Linked DNA regions of Saccharomyces cerevisiae S288C. The protein of the gene in region 2 purifies or fractionates together with the protein of the main gene of each other region. This does not show direct contact. Each region holds a gene or a part of one and is shown on either strand. Other genes may lie near its edges.

Region 1 (3,628 bases), on a different chromosome or scaffold from region 2:
AAAAAGAGCTGCAACAACGATGATTCTTCCCCTTACACTGCATCATCCATGAACACTAATGACGTAAGCGAAGCTGGTACAGAAGGCCACCGGTTTTCATTATTCGGAAATAAAAGCCAATTGTCAAATAGGAACATATCTGGTGGAACAGCCACTTTGGAGTCATCAAATCCTGACCTGCCTACAGCCTTACCATTAAGCGTTCCGGTGACTATCATTGATAAAAATGGAGAGATACACAAGCTTCATAACGATGATGCAGCTATAAAAGATAAGTCGCATGACCGTCACGGTCACAGTAAATTCGGTAGGAAACTGAAAAAAATTTTTGGCAGGAAATGATTTGAAAGAAGAAAACATAGGAAACCTAAAATGAAATGTAAGGATATGATGCACTGCCACCGTAATTAAAATAGTTGGCTAGCGCTAGCTTTCTTTTCATTTAAAATTTAATAACTAGTTCGATCACGAATTAATCCAATCTAGTTATCTGAAAAGTGTATATAGAGTAGATAAAAAAAAGGTTTATTAATTATTACAAAAAATTATTATATTCTATAAATTATTGTGTGGCAAAATGAGAAGGGAAAAGTAATAAAAAAATAAAGACAAAGGTGAACTGTAAGGTGAAAAAATTATGCGAGTTTGTCCATTTTCGAGACTGCTTCAAGAGATTCACATAAGTAATCAACGTTCGAATCATTGACTCCGCTAAGCGACAATCTACCATCACCTGTTAAATAGACGAAGTAATTGTTTCTCAATATTTCGACTTGCTTTGGACTAAACCTTGTATAGTAAAACATACCGTGCTGTTGTGCGAAATTTACAAGATCCGGCCACCCTAGACGGTCAAACATCTCCTGTCTGACGTGATGCAATCTCTGAACCATGAAATCAACATCCTTGAACCATTGCTGTTTCAATTTGAAATCTGATAATACTACATTTACCACACGAGAACCGTATCCTGGTGGAGAAGAATACATACCTCTGACAATCTTTTTTAATTGGGAGTCAATATTTTGCTGCAATGAGTTTTTCTGTTGTAGAGGGTTGAACTTTCCATTGTTCGCAGTTGCCGGCGTGATAACGCTTAAGGAACCAACTCGTTCACCATAAAGGCCCATGTTCTTGGCAAAAGATTGACAAAGAAAGATACCGTTACTCCAATTTGGATATTTATTTACATTGAGACATAGCCTCAATAAATATGCGTCCTTTAGTAAGTTACCAGACTCTAAACCCTGATAAGCCATATCAACAATGGGTACCATTTTTAGCTCATATATAGTATCTATAATCTTTTCCCATTGCTCTTTAGTTGGGTCGAGACCTGTAGGGTTGTGACAACACGCATGCAAGATTATGCAAGGTGGGTTCTTATTGTTTTCTTGCTGGTTGTTATATGCAAAGGTTTTCAATTGCTCAATCCATCCGTCGATGTCTATCTGACCGTCCTTATAATAGGAATACCGGTAAATATTTTCAAAACCATTGTTCTGAAAAATGTTCTTATGATTTGCCCATGATGGGTCAGGTATCCAAATATCTCTTGAAATAAATAATGCCAAGAATTTAGCTGCTACAGCTAGGGCGCCTGTACCACTCAAAGTCTGAACAAAGCTGATTCTATCATGGGCTAAATAAAATGGCCCAAACTGCGGACATGATTCCTTGAACAAAAATTTCATAACGTTTTCCTGAAATTCTTTGGAACCTGTTATTGGTAAATATGAAAGATTCTTATTCAACTCTAAATGAGATTCAATCAATTTTTGAGCTTTTGCAACGGAGGGAAACGTCGTCACTTTGCCCCAACCATCTTTATATATTCCTACGGTCAGGTCAATTTTGTTAACATTTTTTACCTTTTTGAAGTGTTCAGATAACCCCAAGACTTTATCTGGAGGTGCTCTTGGTACTCTACTAAGCGATGACGTGTAGTAGGGCCTCCATAGACTGCAATTAGTAAGCCTCGTCCTCAACATCAAGTCTTTCGGCAGTGAAAAACGGATAGTAATTTTCAAATGAGAAGGGAAAACGCACTCAATAGTATGCTATCGTTCAATCCGCTATCGTCTATTCTGTATTTTTTTTTTCTTTTCAATTGCGACGGTTAGCAATTAGATAACCAAGACAGAGAGAGCGAATACTTGCTAGCAATTTATATACGTAAGCGAAAAATGTAAAAAAAAATATGAAAAATGCGGCATCCTAAATATTGGAGCAAAGCAGAATAGTGCTTCCATACTCCAAGATGCCATTTCCGTCGATATTACATCTGACAATAGGAAGATATGCGAGCTATGACTCCAACAATCACATGAGACGGCGTGCAAAACTCATGGAAGCCATCTTCCGCATCCGAACAATATGAATCATCGACGATGGTCGCATGCAAACGCCCTTTAAAAAGTGAAATATTTAAATATAAACCAATTAGTTACAGCAAGTCATTCGTTACTGGAAGTGAAAGGACTTTGATTACGCAAGGCCTTTTCAACTAGAAGTTCCGAATTTTCCATAAACTTCTCAACAACATCTTTGGTCAAACCAGGCGAAGGTAAAATAGCATCGCCTTTGTTGCTGAACATTGTACCACTGCGTGATTCGATAGCGGGGCTCGCAATCAGGGTGCATATTGTTTTCGCATACGTCTCTGCGCTTTGACAGGTCCAGCTGATTATCCATTCTGTAATGCGGCTGAGGTAGGTGTCACTGCCAAGAAGATTATTACGAATGTTCGTTTTGATCAGCCCAGGGTTCAAACCGAAAGTATCTATATTCGTGTATCTGTCTTTAGCGTCTATGACCAGACTTTCATTGGCTGCCACAGTGTTCATATGTGTAGCGTAGGCACTATACTTCTTTTCATCAGAATTCAAGTCATCTGGGTCTCCCACCTGACCATTTCCTGGAAACCCTGCTATGAAAACTTTTGGCAAATCGTCTTTTTTTGTCCTACTAATTCCTAATCGCTTCGCCACATCATGGAAGATAATGTATCTACTCAAATAGCTCACTGCCATGTCTTTTTCCAAACCCTCACTTGTAGCTTGTCTCTGGCGTGATGCAAAAATACCCGTAGTGAAAATCAGATGTGTTAACTCCTCGTAGGGAATTTCATCACTATGAGATATACGCTTGCATTCTGACACTAAACTTAAATCAGCCTTGACAAAGTTAATTTTATCTTTTAGGTCCTCGTCCCTAAAAGTTTGCCCGACAACAGTAACCCTGGCATTTCTTTGGGCCAGCTCTCTACTTATTGCACGTCCAAGTCCACCTGTGCCACCAATTATGGCCACATTAAAACGACTAAAATCAATGTCATTGATATTTTTTCTTTCCCAACTGACGGTGGGATCCTTTTTCCAGAACATCCTGCTAAATGCGCCAATATACTATTATTAGTTTTTCCTTGATACGTGGTAATATTCTGTTTGTTGGTTCACCTTTTCATTCACTTGAATTGTTTTAAATTTTGTATTTATACCTCTGCCGATTATTCCTCCCCTAATTGATGATTGCAGATTATGTAATATATATACATATATGGACGAGGCCCCTAATTGAACAACAAAAATAAAAAGTGTAAAAACATGCTAGTCTCTATATTGATAAA
Region 2 (3,758 bases):
AAAGAGCGTACCCGTTTTTGTTTTTTTAGCTAATGCCCCTTTGCATTATGCCGAAGGGTAGAAACTTTGTTCAAGATTATGCTTTCTTTGTAATTTTAAACATAGTCTTGCACTTATTTTTACTGCATGTGGATAAAAGTTTTTCGAATCGTTTGCAGGCAAATGTAAACTATTACTTTTTAATGATTTCTGATACTCTTTGATTCCATTCTGTCATACTTTTTTCTGCATTTGAAACGCTAATTAAGTATTTCTTGGCCCTGCTTCTTTTCCTTTTGATTTCTTTTTTTATTCTCAAGTTTTTAATTTCTGGAGAATCTCTTTTTTTGTTTATTTTGTTAACACAGTTAGTGGAGCCTTGTAGTATCGAGAGTAGACTATCTTTGGAAAGCAATGCGAGTTGAGAGATTGTGGAGTGTACTACAGAACCAATATTAAACACAATCTTTCCTCAAACTGTAACACCGAGTTTTTTTCCCCACCAATCGTGAATCCGATAGCATATACTTTTGTCTAGAAATTTCAATAAACAACAGAATAACGAAGAGTGCTAAGGGACAAATGCAAAACCCTCCGTTGATTCGTCCCGATATGTATAATCAGGGAAGCAGCTCAATGGCTACTTATAATGCCTCTGAGAAGAATCTAAATGAGCATCCTTCTCCGCAAATTGCACAGCCCAGCACGTCCCAAAAGTTACCTTATAGAATAAATCCTACAACCACTAATGGGGACACCGACATATCTGTTAACAGCAATCCTATCCAGCCTCCTTTGCCAAACTTGATGCATCTATCTGGTCCGTCTGACTATAGATCGATGCATCAAAGTCCTATACATCCATCTTATATCATCCCTCCGCATTCAAATGAAAGAAAACAATCAGCTTCTTACAACAGACCTCAAAATGCTCATGTTAGTATTCAACCTTCCGTGGTATTCCCCCCTAAAAGTTATTCCATATCTTATGCACCTTATCAAATAAATCCCCCTTTACCAAATGGACTTCCGAACCAGAGCATATCTTTGAATAAGGAGTATATTGCAGAGGAGCAACTATCAACCCTCCCATCTCGCAATACCAGTGTTACTACTGCACCTCCTTCTTTTCAAAACAGTGCTGATACCGCTAAAAATTCAGCTGATAATAATGATAATAATGATAATGTAACCAAACCTGTTCCTGATAAAGACACCCAACTCATAAGTAGTTCAGGCAAAACTTTAAGAAATACTAGAAGAGCTGCTCAAAATAGAACCGCTCAAAAGGCATTTAGACAAAGGAAAGAAAAATACATCAAGAATCTCGAACAAAAATCAAAGATATTTGACGATTTACTAGCAGAAAATAATAACTTCAAATCATTAAACGATTCATTAAGAAATGACAACAACATTTTAATAGCTCAGCATGAAGCTATAAGGAATGCAATTACTATGTTAAGAAGTGAGTATGATGTCTTATGTAACGAAAACAACATGTTGAAGAATGAGAATAGTATAATAAAAAATGAACACAACATGTCAAGAAATGAAAATGAAAACCTAAAACTTGAGAATAAACGCTTCCACGCTGAATATATACGAATGATCGAGGATATTGAAAATACTAAAAGAAAGGAACAAGAACAACGAGATGAAATAGAGCAACTAAAAAAAAAAATAAGATCCCTGGAGGAAATAGTAGGGAGACACTCGGATAGTGCCACGTAATACAATAAATAGGGAGCAGATATTGATCTCTAGTACTGGAAGATCAACTTTTTGCTTTGGCCTTATAGGTCATATAAATTTTAATAATTAATGTAACAGACAAATCAAGGTGTGATTCTGTTCTGATAAAATTTGTTATTTTCCAGAATGTTCTAGAAGTGTTCTTTCATCTAATGGCATCGCGTTTGAATAGGGGGTGCACGGACTTTTTTTTTTGAATAAACCCCTGTGATTCATTGTATCTAAGCTCATCAAACCCCCTAGTTACTGACTCACGCACACACATATATATACATATATATGCATATGTAAGCATGAAAAGTTTGACTTCTATTATCTATTCCAGGAACCCTGAAACAAGCGAGTGAAAATCTTTCAAGGTTAAATATGTTAAGACAAGCTACAAAAGCACCAATACAAAAATATTTACAGAGAACGCAACTATTAAGGCGAAGTACTCCACGAATATACACTATTGTACAGTGTAAAAGATCTATTTGCAGTTTTAATGCAAGACCTCGAGTAGCCAATAAACTTCTATCAGATATAAAAACAAATGCATTAAATGAAGTCGCTATTTCAACCTGCGCCCTCAAGAGCTCATATGGATTGCCCAATTTCAAAAGAACGTACGTCCAAATGAGGATGGATCCCAATCAGCAACCGGAAAAGCCAGCTTTAGAACAATTTGGTACAAACTTGACAAAATTAGCGCGCGACGGTAAATTAGACCCTGTCATTGGCAGAGACGAAGAAATCGCAAGAGCTATTCAAATTTTATCAAGAAGAACAAAAAATAATCCATGTTTGATCGGTCGAGCTGGTGTCGGTAAAACCGCCCTTATTGATGGGTTAGCTCAAAGAATTGTTGCTGGGGAGGTCCCTGACTCGTTGAAAGATAAAGATCTAGTAGCTTTGGATTTGGGATCTTTGATTGCTGGCGCCAAATATAGAGGTGAATTCGAAGAACGTTTAAAAAAGGTTTTAGAAGAAATTGACAAGGCCAATGGTAAGGTTATTGTTTTCATTGATGAAGTTCATATGCTGCTTGGCTTAGGTAAAACTGATGGTAGTATGGATGCTTCTAACATCTTAAAGCCAAAACTGGCCCGTGGGCTACGTTGTATCTCTGCAACCACTCTTGATGAATTCAAAATCATTGAAAAAGATCCGGCTTTATCGAGAAGGTTTCAGCCTATCTTATTGAATGAGCCGAGCGTCTCCGATACGATTTCTATACTAAGAGGTTTAAAAGAAAGGTACGAGGTTCATCATGGTGTAAGGATCACTGATACAGCTTTAGTGTCTGCTGCAGTTCTTTCAAATCGTTATATAACAGACAGGTTTCTACCTGATAAAGCCATTGATCTAGTTGACGAAGCTTGTGCTGTACTACGTTTACAACATGAATCCAAACCGGATGAAATACAGAAACTGGATCGTGCTATTATGAAAATACAAATAGAACTGGAATCTTTAAAGAAAGAGACCGACCCTGTTTCCGTGGAAAGAAGAGAAGCGTTGGAAAAGGACCTAGAAATGAAAAATGATGAATTAAACAGATTAACAAAAATATGGGACGCTGAAAGAGCTGAAATTGAATCTATCAAAAATGCTAAGGCAAATTTGGAACAAGCAAGAATTGAGTTGGAAAAGTGTCAGAGAGAGGGTGATTACACTAAAGCATCCGAGTTGCGATATTCCAGAATTCCTGACTTGGAGAAGAAGGTAGCTTTAAGCGAGAAGAGTAAGGACGGAGATAAAGTAAATTTACTTCATGATTCAGTTACTTCTGACGATATTTCTAAGGTTGTTGCCAAAATGACTGGTATTCCTACAGAAACGGTGATGAAAGGCGACAAGGACCGCCTACTGTATATGGAAAATTCTTTAAAAGAAAGAGTCGTTGGCCAAGACGAGGCCATTGCTGCTATTTCTGATGCTGTACGTCTTCAAAGGGCTGGTTTGACCAGTGAAAAGAGACCTATTGCCAGCTTTATGTTCTTAGGTCCTACTGGTACTGGTAAAACAGAATTGACCAAGGC

What was found. The genes of interacting proteins can lie anywhere in the genome.
Region 1: the proteins of HSP78 (region 2) and AAT1 purify together in Saccharomyces cerevisiae (affinity purification with mass spectrometry, with the first as the bait; 2 studies listed by BioGRID). This does not show direct contact.

Annotation. Positions count from the first base shown.
Region 1 is NC_001143.9:235,899-239,526, reverse strand, and holds AAT1 (aspartate transaminase AAT1), read right to left. Parts: upstream 1,992-3,628; coding exon 636-1,991; downstream 1-635. Other genes in the region: SEG2 (Seg2p), read left to right, coding at 1-342; YKL106C-A (uncharacterized protein), read left to right, coding at 2,261-2,380; YKL107W (putative short-chain dehydrogenase/reductase), read right to left, coding at 2,457-3,386. UniProt on the Saccharomyces cerevisiae protein: Plays a key role in amino acid metabolism. Important for metabolite exchange between mitochondria and cytosol.
Region 2 is NC_001136.10:972,586-976,343, reverse strand, and holds the start of HSP78 (chaperone ATPase HSP78), read left to right. Parts: upstream 1-2,100; coding exon 2,101-3,758. Other genes in the region: YAP6 (Yap6p), read left to right, coding at 562-1,713. UniProt on the Saccharomyces cerevisiae protein: Required, in concert with mitochondrial Hsp70 (SSC1), for the dissociation, resolubilization and refolding of aggregates of damaged proteins in the mitochondrial matrix after heat stress.